Notamacropus eugenii: one gene and its partner. The protein of the gene in region 2 purifies or fractionates together with the protein of the main gene of each other region. This does not show direct contact. Links are inferred from orthologs where the notes say so. Each region holds a gene or a part of one and is shown on either strand. Other genes may lie near its edges.

Evidence for each region. Proteins that work in one complex are often made in the same cells at the same time.
Region 1: the proteins of TNRC6C (region 2) and AGO3 purify together in Homo sapiens (affinity purification with mass spectrometry; 3 studies listed by BioGRID and IntAct, with this or other methods). This does not show direct contact. The link is inferred for Notamacropus eugenii from reciprocal best matches to the Homo sapiens genes TNRC6C and AGO3.

The regions. Positions count from the first base shown.
Region 1 is NC_092876.1:83,736,004-83,742,883, reverse strand, and holds the start of AGO3 (protein argonaute-3), read left to right. Parts: upstream 1-3,869; 5' UTR 3,870-3,950; coding exon 3,951-3,969; intron 3,970-6,880.
Region 2 is NC_092873.1:319,097,496-319,105,250, reverse strand, and holds the start of TNRC6C (trinucleotide repeat-containing gene 6C protein), read right to left. Parts: upstream 3,022-7,755; 5' UTR 2,888-3,021; coding exon 2,858-2,887; intron 1,536-2,857; exon of another isoform or gene 1,410-1,535; intron 1,081-1,409; exon of another isoform or gene 1-1,080. UniProt on the Homo sapiens protein: Plays a role in RNA-mediated gene silencing by micro-RNAs (miRNAs). Required for miRNA-dependent translational repression of complementary mRNAs by argonaute family proteins.

The DNA of each region.
Region 1 (6,880 bases), on a different chromosome or scaffold from region 2:
AGCCCCTGGGGTCCACTTTGGCTTCCTGATCAGCCCCTAACCTCTCTCCCCAGCAGAAATATCCCATATTTTATAAGATTTCAGGGATGTAGGATTAGGGAAAAGGACCCTAGCCAGATCTTGGAGAAATACTGTGTGAAGAGCTTCTTCTTTTTTTTTTTTTTTTAAACCTGCTACAGGAAAGAATCTTAGGAATTCTGTATCTCCAGGTCCTAGTATGGTGAGTAGCACATATTAGGTGCTTAATAAATGCTTTTTCATTCTTTCAAGGCAAGCATCAGCAGTTGGACCCAGGGGAAGAGGAATGAGTCTACTCCAGATCCAGTCCCAGCCCCCATATAGTGGTTGAAAGATCCCATGTTCAGTCATCTCAGGGCCAGAGCCTGGCTCTTGGGGGACTGGGCGGGGGGAGTTGTGTGTATGTGATGAGAAGACACTTTGATATGTGTCTATATAAAACTGTTAGCTGCAGCTATCTGGTTATCCCCTCCTCATCTCTCCTGGGCACAATGGGCATCTTGTTGGAAGCTGAGATGGTTTAGTTTTCATAGGGCACTCAGCCTAGTCCCTATTTTACCATTACTTCTGTTTTCTGTAGTGTTCCTCTTGGGTTAATAACATGCCAGTGGGAAGGAGGAAAGAGCTGATATCAGTAGGTGACTGCTGCTGTCAGGCTGGAAATAAGGCTGGGCTGATGTAGCTTATTTCTTCGGTTGCAATCACAAAGTTGGAAGGAATTTCAGAGTTTAATCCATACCTAATTGAGAGTTACTTCTTACACTATTTCCAACCAATGGTTATCCAACTTTCTTACTTAAAGCTCTCAAGAGAAGAAGAACCTACTACCCAACCAGAGTCCGCTCATTTCACTTTTGAATAGATCTTATTGTTGGGAAATTTTTCCTTATGACCAGTCAAAATCTGCCTCTATAAATTAGTTCTAGTTCTGTCTCCTGGGACCCAGCAAAATAAAATGAATTTCTTTGCCACTTGCCCTCCCCTCTAAGTTTCTTCCCTGTAGTCTAGCAACCCACCCCCAGTCTCAAAGTTTAGGTGGTGGGAAAGCAGACACTTGTGTTTTTAAGGCATAGTCAGTTTAGCAGATTCACCAAACAGCCACTTCCAGTTTTGCTTTTCATTAAAAAAAAAATGCCTTTGAAAACTACCAGTTCCTATCCACTTCATTTCTATTGCAGAAAACTAAACATCTCAAAAAATCAGTTAGAAATTTAATTTCAAGAAGTCCTTGAGGTCTATCCTCTCTGCCTGAAGTGTGAGTCCTTCTATTTGCTTGGATACTTCAATACCATTGTATTGTAAGCTCATTGAGGCCAGGGACTACTTTTTGTTTTTGTAACCCTAGGACCTAGTACATAGTAGGTACACAATAAATGATTTTTGGATTAGATACTAAATTCATTATTTTATTGCCATGGACTTTCTTTCCACCTATACACAATTTAATTCCTCCATCTTAGTGGTCTATTTCATGAACTGGGGTTATCAACAAATTCATCACTTGATGGTCAACCCTACAATGAATGAATGAATGATGAACTTCAGCTTTACCTAGATTGGATCCTGTGTGACAAACAAATACATCACTAGGCCTGTCCTTGAAACCTTTCTAGTTTGGCAGAACCTTCCAGGAGCTCATATCCTGCTGGTGGAGCCTTTGAAAACTCAGGGTCACCTTCATGCCACAATAAGGCATCCAAGGTCTTTGTGACTCTGTTCTGAAGACCCTCCCTGGTGACCTGCCAAAGAAGTGCATTTCTTTTTTGAATAGCTCCTGTTGTTAGCTATAGTACTTCCTTTATCTTGAGCTGACTCCTGCCTCCCGGTAACTTTCACCTCAGTCCAGAAAGAATAATCTTTCTCACGACCTTCAGGAATTTGAAGACAGCGATACTGTCCTCTCCAACCTAAACACCAAATGGTGGTGGTGCTACGGTCCATTAGTCTAAAGAGGCCGAATTAAACAAGTTATCAGTTTAACACAAACTCCCTATGCCTGGAATCCAGGGATTCCATTCTAGGAGCCAGCTGGTATCCAGCAGTCACAACCACTCTCCCTTTTGCTAAGACTCAGAGGCATGACTAGGAGAATGGGGAATCCTGTAGGGAAAGAGATTCAAAGCCATCAACAGTGTTCCATAGTGGAAGTGTAACAACAGGGAAAAGATGACTGAAAGCCTGGAGACGGTCCTCATTCTGTGGTAGAATTCCAGTCCGGTGCAGGTGCTGTATTTCCCAAGTTCCTTTTCCCAGAGGACCAGCTTGGCCAAGGGAGGGGTGTGTTTTTGAAACTCCCTCAGTCACTTATTGCTCAATCCAAGATTTTTAGTTAAGAAAAATTAAAAGTTGGTATGTGGGGGTGGGAATGGAGAACCGCGACACTGGGGTAAAAGGGCGGTCGGGTTGGGTTGCCAGCGTCTATCCCTTTCATTCCTCTTCGTTCCAAGAATGGGTTTTGAGGCAGCAGTTCTCGTTCTCGGAAATGCTGCCCCCCCCCCCCCCCTTTTAGGAACGTTTGAGGGAGCCGCTGATGGATCCGTTCCTCCCAATTCCAGGCAGCTGAGAGGATCAGAAGAATTGACCGTGTTGTTGAGAAAGGGGCCTTAGTTTTTCCATCTGTAAAGTGACTAGATGAGTCGGTCCCTTTGAGCGCTGACATCCACGCAACAAGCATTTATTAGGCGCTTACTATGTACCAGGCGCTGGGGATTCGAGGAGGAAAAGAGAAGCCCGCTGTACTCCTAGCTTCCGTACAATTACTGAATGTATAGGATGACCAGGACCTGCCAAAGTCTAGGAATTGGCACCGGGCCTAGCACACAATAAGCTCGTTGACTCACCCGCATGGGGGGGGCGGGGCCGACGTCTCTCTCCGCCTAAGAGATGACTGAGAGGAGAAACTGTCATGGCGGCCCTGCCTTGGAAGCTCAGGGCCGAGGCAAGCTGCTGGGTGGGCAACGTCCTGGGCAGCCCAGCCAGGCGCGGGAGGTGGGCGGGAGACCGTTAAACGGCCGGGCAGTAGCAGTTGGTGGAATGTTCCTGCTACTCAACCCGAAGTGTAACTGTATAAACGGTGGGGGAGGCTCGGAGCGTCCAATCAGAGACGTGAAAAAGGTGACAGACTTGGCCACCAGCCAATCCTGAGGCCGTGGGCGGGGGGAGCTGTCTGAAAAAGCTACGTTTCCTCGCCCCCCGCCTGTCAGTCAGCAAGGAGCAATGGGAGGTCCTTGGAGAGCTCCGCACCCTAGGAAGGCCACGCCCCCAGAATTTTCCTTTTTCCGATTGGCCCCGGCACACCTGAGGACGACGGGACATGCCCCAAGTTGCTCAGGCCTGAGGCCTGGAAGCGAGGACACACCCCCTCCGTGTGTGCCCCTTCATTACCATCTGCTCCGCCCCTACCCACACACCCATTCTCCACTGCCTTCACCTCCGTCCCCGCCCTTCTCCGGCACGAGGAAATCTGGCTTCCTGGAGCTTCGAGCTCCGCCTCCTTTTCCCCTCCCAGTTGCGGGGCGTTAGAGCGCGCGCCGGAATAAAGTATTCATTCAGGGTAAAGGGCGGCTAGGCAACGGAGGCACCGGGCTGGAACTGGCTGCGGAAGTGACGTCGGAGGGCTTCCGGGGGGGCGCCGGCGGCGAAGTCGGCGGCCGCGGCGGTTGAGCGAGTCCGCTTGCTAGCGGCTGCCGGCGACGACGGTTCGGGACGGCGGCTCCTAGCTCTCCCGTCCAGCTCGTGTCTGACGGCCTTTCCTGCGCTGTTGGAGCGGCGGAGCTGAGGAGGGCCAGCTCGGGGAAGGGGCCCTAGAGGAGGAGGCGCCGCCGCCCCGGGAGACTGGCGCGCGGAGCGAGCCGCCACCCACCTCCTTTCGTCTCCTCCCGAGCCGGAGCGGGCCCAACTCTCTCCTAGAGCAGCCCTGCCCAGCTCCATGAATGGAAATCGGCCCCGCAGGTGAGTGGGAGCCCCCGCCCCGTGCGCTTCCCTCCATCCTCCGGGAGCTCTCCGCCCCTGCCGTGAGCGTCCGCGGGGCTCCGTGAGGGTGTATCTGTGTCACGCCGCTCGCGGTGGACGCCAGCCATCTCTGTGACTTTGTGTGGGGAAGAGCCTCGTGTGCACCCCCCTGCCCCCTTGTCCATCCTGGCCTAGGGGGTGTGCCGACACGGAGCAGGAGCGTGTCAGCTTTAGGAGATGCTCCCCCATTCATTACTTTGTCTTCTGAAGGGACATAGTTTGTCCGCTAGACGAGGCTGCGCAAGTGACTTGTTTTTAGACTCCTTGCCCGAATTGTCAGGATTAACGAGAGAACGAATGTGTTGAGGTAGCTTTGAAAAAGTGTATACACTGCTAGAGAAATACGAGGTGGTAACTTGTTGCTACTGCTCTCCTCCTCTTAGTCGTTACCATTGCAAAGTGCTTTAAAGTTAACCCTTTAAGCAAATCAATTTAGGTAACTGTGGGAGTGCCGTGGTGGCCTGGCGAAGACGGAGTCCCTTGGGAATGTAGAAAGAGATATGCTAGGCTGGATAAGCTCCTTGAGGACAGGGAGCAGGGAGCACCGTTCTTTTGTTTACGTTTGTATCTCCTACGTTTAGTTTAGTCCCATAGTGCCTGACACATAGTAATCCTTTAATATGCGTGGGTGTGGAAACTGTTCTAAAAAAGTAGTGTCAGTGATAATTTGTCGTCACACTGTTTATAACATTTCTGGAGATTTTGCTTTGGGGGAAAGTTGAAATCTAAGCAATACTTTATCCACTTTTATTCTTCCAAAAGCCATTTGTGTAGGACATTAAGATGTAAGCCCAACTTGATTTGTTTTCTAAAATGATCATGTTTGGCAAATCTAACTTTAAAAGTATAGTTCAATTCAAACACTTAGAAATTAATTTGATTTACTATTTAGATAATTATCCTAAATGGAGCTACAAATTGTTGAGCTTTGAACTTAGTCCTTGCCTGTTTTAGAAACAGGAGAAAACTTGAACAAGAAGAAACCAACATTATAGTAAAGCCAAATTGCTACATTTTTCTGGGCATGGTGCCCACTATAACATCTAGCAAATACAGAAAACATTCTTTTTCAGAAAGGATTGTGAGGGGGAAAAAGCCCTCCATCTCCAAATTCATTGATTACAATTTTTCTTCTTAAGATGCTACTTTCTTACTTCTATAACATCCTGTAAAAGGAAGCTTTTGTTTACCTGGGTTTGTGCAAACTGCACCATCTTTTACAAGAATTTTAGCACTGACCTTGAAAATCAGGAGGGTCTTGGGTTCTCTGATACTGTCTGAGACTATGAAAATTCAGTAAGCATTTTATTAAGTTTGAAGTAATATACCTAGTACTTGTGCAAAGATACTAAGACAAAAAAATTCCTTTCCCTCAAACATCTTGCTATATTATTTTAAGGTTTGCAAAACCTTTCACACACACTATCTCATTTGATCTTTAAAGACAACCTTAGGAAGTAGGTGTTGTGACGTCTTATTTTACAAATGAGGAAACTAAGGCTCAAAATCAACAAATAATAAGGGCCTACTGTGGCCAAAGGATTATGCTGTAAAATAAGGACAATATCTGCTGTACCTGCTCCCGTTCTTCTGAAATATAAATAAAATATGAAAAATAATTTGAAAATTTTAAAACTCTATGTAAATGTCAATTATATCTTGTATATTATGTTTTCTTTATCACATGGTTTTTAATTTAGCCCAGTAGCAATGTATGATAGCCTTACCTTTATAAGTCATTCTGAAACAAATTTTTTCACTTAGGGAAAAGAAAATAAAAGGGCTTTTTTTCCCTTGAAATTTTCTCTGTACACCCTTTTCCTCTTCCTTTTTTTGAGCCTTTACATATCTGGACTCACCCACTTTGATTTTTCTGTTTCCATATAAAGTTATAGGAAAGTTCAGGTATAATCTATCTTTTTAAAAGAATTCCTCAAAATATTTTCTCCTACTTTAGCCTTTTTGCCCAGAAGTTCAATTCAATGCAAATTATACTGTGTTCTTGCCGTTTGAATAGTTTTACTACTAATGCTGAAATACATTTTCATATTAGTGAAAGCAGAGGTAGTTAATTTGTACTTTGTCCATATGCTTGAGCATCTTGAAATAGAGAATCACTTTATATGCTTGGCTCTAGCTAGTTTGTAAATTTATTATAACCAAGTAACTAAAAATAACCATAACATTGTTTTAAAATAATCATCTTTCGTTGTTATTAATAAAACTATTCCTTAAATTTTTAATGATGGGGAGTATGACAACTCAATAGCAAGTATTTATGTGACACTTTAAGGTTTGCTTAGATGAAAAAGGAATACTGAACCTCAAAAAAGTTTGTGAACAAGAACTCGGGATATGTAGTAGAGAATATATTGTATTAGAATATTTAGATGTTAGAATCCCAGATTTTCAGAGTTGAAACCAGGACCCCCCAAGACCATTTAGTTCAGTAGTGTCAAACTCAGATAGAAATGGGACCACTACAGAAGAATTCCTGTGGGTTGTATATTGACTCAGAAAGCCACATATCAACATTATTTATGTTCTGTTGTATTTTTTTTTATTTTGCTCAATATTTCCCAATTACATTTTAATCTAGTTCTAGCTGCACTTGAGAGTGTTGTATTCCACCTTCAGGTTCAGTGTTTGAAGCTTCTGATCCAGACTAATTCCAAACCATCTGAACAAGAATCCTAGCTTCCAGCTTCAGTGGTCACCAAAGTGTTAGAGTAACCTATTTGGTCAATTTTCTGCTTTAGAAGTATAATTTGAGCCCCCCCCCCCCAGTTATGTGCTAATATTATTTTTCTGAATTTCTGAAATGATCTGAAATAAGAATCTAGGGCATGAG
Region 2 (7,755 bases):
GAGGAAAACAGGAAACTTAACAAGAGTCCACATTTTTGGTGCATTCACATTGCTCTTGATGATCCAAAATTAAACATTTGAAATAACTTTAAGGAAGGTCCTACTTTTCTGAAGTTTAAAAATCATCTGCATGATAATAACCAGAAATAGCCATCTCTTCCGTTTGAAGTACACCTATACTGAAGGAAAAGCCAAACTATGGCAATACAATATATGCCACTCAGAAGCTACTAAACACCTGATGTAGCACTCCTTGAAGGCACTTCACTTACCAAGACATTTGTACACCATTTTGAGTTCCGAACTTGTAATTCACATCTGGAAATAGTAGATCATTCAAATGGAGGTTTAGTTGGGATTTTGTCAAAGATTTGAAACAATTCAACTAATTACATACAGAATCACAGTCAAAGAACAATATGATAGGTGCTACCCACCAAAAAGAAAACTCCATTTACTCCAATCGTTCACTGGATAAACAACCTTTATTTCCAAACTTCACTTTAACACACAAGTGGTATCTTAAAACAGGAAATCCTACACTTACATATGCGTGCTTAATAGCTCTGGATCAATTACTTAAAATCCTATTTACAAATCACAAGCGGAAACAAATGTTCCTTAAACAAGTGAAATTGAGGTACTCCGAGTAACGTTATCTTTTAACAGTACAGATGTTGCACGGCTCATCTTTTCTCATATACATCACTTGCTGCCCACAATGCCGTTAGGAAATTCACCTGAAGAGATGGATATGCAATAAGATCACCATCATCAGAAAATAAAATCCGAGTTTTAAATTTCTCGATGCATATGCAAACGAGATGTAAAAGCCAGTTTCCCTTAATTTTATATTCGACGCGAGTCTATAATGTGAAGGCTTCTTTTAAATGGGAACAGATTTTCCTCAAATCCATACTGCCAAACCAAAAAAGGGGGGAAAAAGGGCGTCTTTTATTTGTAAATGATAGATTCAAATCATACAACTGCCCATAAACGCAGTTCAATACATAGAAATTTAAAAACGCATTTCCAAATAACAATAATGAAAATGCCTTTTTCTATCCCCAGCACTGCTTTTTAAATAAACACGAGTGAATAATAAAAAAATCCACCCAGGGATCATTTGTTTCTGGCCAAACGGCAAAGGAAAAACCGTGATGCCAGCACAACAGACCTCAGCTTTCCCCCCCCTTTTCCCCAAGCGTCTGATGGAATTGCGGAATTACATCCTTGTGGTAAAGCAACCTTCGCGAGCAGCTTACCCAGCACCTCCCACCCAGACACCTCAACTTGGCCGAACAAAGACATTCTCGGCATCTGGGAGCAAGTTGGGGCTCCCGAGGTCGGACCTTGCGGTGCGCAGGGCTCCCAGCCTGGGGAGCATCCCCGGGTCCAGCCGCACTCACCTCGGCTCCTGGCCCAGCGGCGGCTGCAGCTCGCGGCTCCGGCAACGCAGGAGGCTTAAACCTGTCAGGAGCCGCCCGGGGGCTTCGCTGGATCTCCGGCGGCAGAAAGAACCCTTGCCCTCTCCGCTCCTCGGAGTCAAGCACCGGGGCCAGGGGCAGAGGTTCCCGCCTGCGCGGAGTCCGGCCCGGGCGGCGGGTGGGAGGTGGCGGCGGCGGCGGCAGGGAGAGCAAGGAGGCGGCAGCGGCGGGTCCGGGCAGGTCCAGGTCCTCGAGCAGCCTCGACTAGCCCTCCTCCTCAAACGGGGGAGCCCGAGCCGCAGAACGGCAGCGGCGGCGGCGGCGAAGCAGCTCCGCAGCGGACCCGGGCAAGCGCAGGGCCGACTCCGCTCCCACCCACGGCTCGGGCGGGCCTCCCAGGGGGCGTCCAGCACAGCGCTGCAGGAGAGGAGACAGCTCCGGCAGCGGACAGGAGATGGAATCAATGAGAGGTGTTCACTGCTGCTGGGCGGCGGCGGCTGCTGCTGCTGCTCCCGGGGCCCTCGCGCTGAGGTGCGGAGCTGCCACCGCGGCCATTTTGTTGCTCTAACTGACAAGAACACCACCTCCTCCTCCTCCCTCCCTCCCTCCCTTCAGACAACTGCCCCCCCCTCCTCCTTTCCCCCTCTCCCGCCAGACGGGGCGCTCGCGCCCCCTTCCCCGCCCCTCTGCGGCTTCAAACAGGAAGTAGTCCCGGTCCCTGGCACGTGACACCCACCGTATCTGCATACTAGAAGTTCTGGCCAATCCCGGGTCTCGCTCCTGCTCCGCCCACAGAGCGCGTCCCCTCCACCCTCGACCACTGGTTCCTCGGCGTTACGCCACGCCTTCTCCTGCCTTCCCCTCCCTAAACCGTAGCACCGGCCTGGTCTTGGCGAGCCCAGAGGAGTCTTATCCATCTTACTCCCCATCTCCCCTCTCCTCCCCGCCTCCGGGGTACGAGGGAGCATCCACGCAGTTTCTTCCTCTCTTTCCTCCATTACCAGCTCTCCCCCCACTCCCCCGCCCCGTCCTGGTGATGTGACTCCGTGTTATCTCATTGGACAGGAAGGGAGAGGAGGCCCTGTCTCAACATCAGCTCCATTTAAAATCGATCCGAACGGTCCCCGAAGCAAAAGCTTGGAGGAGAGAAGGGCCCTGAGGTGGAGCGCAGGATATTTATGCGACGGTACAGCAGCTCCAGTAAAGCACACATCCCCGGGGCCCCAAGCACGTTCCCTCCCCCCGCCCCAGCCGACCACACACGCGAACCCCTCCCCCATCACCCATGCACACGCATGAACACGCATGCATGCCCACAGACCCCAAAGGAAGCCTCCCCCTGCCCCCTTGGCTGAGTTACCCCACCAGGTACATTCCCCCCCATGCACTTGCCACCCAGTCCCGACTCCCTGCCCGCGGCTCAAACCAACCTCAACGCCAAGCAGCCCCCGAGCAGACATCCATGTTTTGGCCGCGACACAAGCACGCTTCCCTTCTGCCCACCCCGGGGTCTGCGTACGCGCCCGCACTCGGGCTAGGCGCGGCTGCTGCCTCCTTCGCGGAGGTGTCCTAAGCCTAAAAGCCGCCTCCTCCCCTCCCCCGCTGTTCGCAGAGGGTCGATTGAACGCAGGAGGCACTCAAATGTTTGCTGAATGGAAACACCGCATTTTTATTTTAAATTCCAGCTAGAGCACGGAAGAATTTCACGAAACCAACAATTTTCTCCATTTTTTTCGCACAGCATTTGGGGCAAACGCCTTTCCGCATCCCCGGGCTCAGAGGCACTACTTTAAAGCTTAGGTAACTCCCCAGGCTTCGGGGAGGGACTACAGTACTGTCCATCTTTGAGGACTTCCTAGCGGATGAAGGAGATAACGCTAATCGAGGGGCAGGATGGTTCGTGCCTCCTTTAGTCCCACTTCTCCCGGGAGCTTCGGGCGCTCCTGCCTTCTTGGGGCCATTTTTTACCTTTCCCATCCATACTCAGACTCTCCCAGAGCTTTCGAAGGTGCTGTCCGGTTTCTGGTTCTGCTGGGTGGCCTTTCTTAAAACCTTCACCAGTCAGTAAGAATTGAACCCCGACAGCGTCTCTTGATTCCTCCACTCACCATTTTATCCACCTTCTTTTCACTCTTGTCCTCGAAGAGCTCACATCCTTCCTGTTTCTGTAAAGTTGGCATACAATTACAAGATACTCCCCAAAAGGAGGGTATAGGATTGAAGAACACCTACTGAGCCAGAAGGACTGTATCTGCACTGGACCCAGACATGCGGTTTGAAAGGGGTTCGGTTCTGGGAGAATCCAGTCTCTAATGAGTAGGATCTGGTTCTCTTTTCTCACACTTCAGCTTATTAGAGCTAAAGCCCAGTGAGGGAGAAAGGCCACAGGGAGGAAAATTTACTTGTAGCTTAGGTTTAGGCTCACACGGTGGATTTTCCCAAATTTGGGGAGTAGAAAGGTACCCTATGCATAATATGAATCTTGTATGAGGGTGGGTATTTATTTCTTATACACACACACACACACACACACACACACACACACACACACACACACCAAAACACAAAAGACTCTCATAAGGGCACATTAACAGTAAGAATTAAACCAAACTATCTGTAGGGCTAACCATAAAACCATTTGTGGAATTGATTATTAGGCATTTTACAGTTCACTTCGACAAGTCTGATAAAATGGACCAAGTTGGAGCCTCTTATTGCTTTTCAATCTCAGTAAAACTCTGGAGTAGTTTCCTGGGATTCCTTGTTCCCATCATTTAGTTCTTTCCAGGATCTTTGAACCTTTGAATTCACGAGGTCATCTTACCTGCATATAATCGTCTTGGGAAACATACTTATTCACCTGAAATAAGGAAAGGAAACAAAATTGGAAAATAAAGCCAAGGTCCCAAACACAAGCTCAGATAAGTCTCCCTGCACTAGTTGTCATGTGAATGGGGTCACCATGATGTTGGGGTGAAGCCCTTCCTTATCCCATAATGGAAATCTCAGTTACATGATGCCATCTGCAAGATGGAAGGGAGAGAAAACCAGATAAAAACTCTCTCCCTTTTACTGAAATAGTACCCCACCCCACCACTTCTATCAGTAGGTAGAAAAGGACCATGGAATTATGCAGGGGTTTCTGCATCTTTATCAAAGCAACAAGTCCTTTCTGCAATTATTAGAGGAGTGGGGAACCTGAGGTCTCAAGGCCGTATGTGACCCTCTAGGTCATCAAGTGCAGTCCTTAGACTGTATCCAAACTTCACAGTACAAATCCTCTTAATAAAAGAATTTGTTCTGTAAAACTTAGACTTAGTCAAAAGGCCTCACCAGAAGACCTAGAGGGCCACATGTGACCTCGAGGCCGCAGGTTCCCCACTCATGGTCCACATGGCTGCTAGCAGTCAGGGACTTTGCCATATCAAATATCTGCTCAGATGTTGAGTTTCTTTGTCCCTGAAATTCCTGTAAGTTTCTAGGAGAGCTTTGGGTTCAGGTTGTCTGTAATGGCACCAATTCAACCTCTACTACATGGGCAATGTAACAACTTCATATCTCAACCATATAAAATATTAACTAACTTATGAAATTCTTGAAGATTCCTATGTTTGACTTGTGTTAATATTGTAAATAAGTAGAATTTAAATTGACCAAAAAAAGAATGAAAAACATAAGACCAGACTTCTACTTTGTCCTGATTAGATGCCTTTTCTATGTGGCTTCAATTTTTCAATGTCTCATTCCCCCCTTCCTTAAAATAGAGGTAGTAATCCCTTCCTCTTTTTATTAACATGTAAATTGTTTAGCTTTTCATTAGACAGTAATTTCTGGAAGACAAATATGATATCTTTTCTTTTTGGTATGACTTTCATGAAGCCTAGTAAGTGTTCTGCACATACTGCAATTCCTAAGGGAATCAATTATCAGGGAAATTCCTAAGCAAAATTGTCCAGTAGGTAGGTATGTGTTTACTACTGTCCTACCTCTTTATCAGCAGTTCTTTCCTCTAGTCCATACCTTCAACTTCTGACTTAAAAGTCCTAATGGCAAAAGTATTAGCTGATAAAATAAGCTGGAAAAATCTTTTAAAATAAAATGACAGGCCCAAATCCTGTCTTTCATCTTAAAAACAACCAATTGCCCAAGTGTAGTCTGAGGAAGTACAGTTTGACAGCAGTTTATGCAAAGAAGACCTAGAGATTTTAGTGGACCAAAGCTCAATGTGTACAAAAGTGTTACAGAGCTGTTAAAGAGCTAATGTAATCTCAGATTACATTAAGAGATGCCTAATGTTCAGATCAAGAGAAGTAATATTCCCACTGTATATAAATGAACTGGGTGAAAGGTTTATAGATCATGTCATATCAGAAACACTGAGAAAACTGGGAATGTTTAGTGTACGGAAGTAACGATAAATGTGACATAATATCTTTCTTCACATGTATGAAGGCCTGTTACATGGAAAGGGGAAATAGACTTTCTGTATTACTGCAAACCATGGTACAAGAAGGAATAAGTATGAATTGCAGGAAGTCAGATTTTGCATTAATATAAGCAAATACTGCATTGTAATTAGAGCTGTCCAACAATGGCATGAACCATCTAGTAAGTGAGCTGAGCTCTTGTGGCTCAAGTCAAAGGTGTAGAAGGAATTCTTGCATGGTAGGAAGAATGTCTGTATTTTGTTCTAGCATCACTAGGTCCTTTTTGATTCTGATATTTTATTATTCTGTAAGAGTTTTTTATTTTTTAAAGTTTTTAAATATTTAAAGTTTTTAGTTTTATTATTCTTTTAAGAGTTAAAAGGAGTATGATGGGAGACAACACATGTACAGACTCTCTCAGCTTGTTCAGCTGTTGCAACTTATCCACATAGAAGATGCTAGGGAGTTTACTTCTGGGGAAGTCTTGACAACATATAAGGACAGTGCCATGAAGAGACTGTGGAGCGTACATGAACATTCTGTAACTGGTTCTGGTTGGGTAATTGTGTTGTTGGAAGGAGCTTTTTTCAGTTGGTTGCATATCTAGAACTGTTAGTATTCTCAAAAAGGCCTGAATCGGTTTCCACTATCCCTTTCTTTCATTTGTGTCTGAGGAAGCTAAGTGCCTGTTTCTTTCAGAGCATTCAGTAAAAGACCATGTAGTAAAGGGCTCTGAGGCCATATGTCACATACCCTTTCCCTCCAACCCCAAAATGGGCCTCTGTTTTTGTTCTTAACATTCTTGTTTTAGTCATTCCCGGTTCTCTCATTCTTCTTACCCATTCTAAGTGAAGGGAATGGAGTTCTTGTTCAGGAGAGTGATCTACAGGAATCCAGGCTGAGTTTTGCACTTATTGAAGTATTGATGGCCTTATGAGCAAGGAATGATGTTTTGAAGTGATCTTTGGTATTACAGTACATTGGAAGAACTCATCCAGAAGGATATGGAGTTGGTGGGACCAATACCATGTAGGAACTGAGCTAAGTTTTAGACTTATTCCTAGAATCAGTAGGTGATACAGTGGATAGAGCACTCCATTTTGAGTTAGGAATACCTGAGTTCAAAAATCCAGCCATCAAACACTTACTAGATATATGACCCTGGGCCTGTGAAAAGACTTGGAGTGAAGAGGTGGAGTGTCAAATACATGTACTAACAAGTAAGCTACTTTGGCTAGAATGATTATTGAGAAATCAATGTAGAAGAATAGGTTGGAGTTAAAAAACTGTGAAGCGTTTTAAATGTCAGGTAGAAGAGTTTGTATTTTATCCTAGAAGCAATAGGGAGTCACTGGAGTGCTTGAGAGGGATAGGAACAGGGTCAGACATGTGCTTTAGGAATATCAATTTGGCAGATGTGTGGAACTTGGGTTAGAAAGGGGAGTAATTGGAAGTAGGGAGGCTAATTAGGGGTTCAATGGAAGACTGAGAAATCTGGAACCTTAGGAGTAAGGTTAAGGCTAAGATTAATAGACAATAGCTAATATTTTTATGAATCTAGAACATTATGCTATTTCTCTAGAATCGACCCTAATATGAGTCATACAGACATAACTCTCAACCATACCATCTAAGCTACCTTCCATTCAGACCCTTCTGAAAATACTTTAATTTTCTGGGGTATAGATTACATAAGAAGCATGCTTTTGTGAGAAACTGTGGAATTAAGCTCATTCTTAGCAGTAGAGAGTAAGGAATCATTAAAAAATTTTCAGCAGTGGAATGACAAAGTCAAAATATGCTTTGAGAAGATGATCCTGGTAGAAGGATATAGAGATTGGAAACAGGGAAACCAAGTAAGAGGCAATATGTACTGAATATTGTGATGGCCCTCTAAAAGA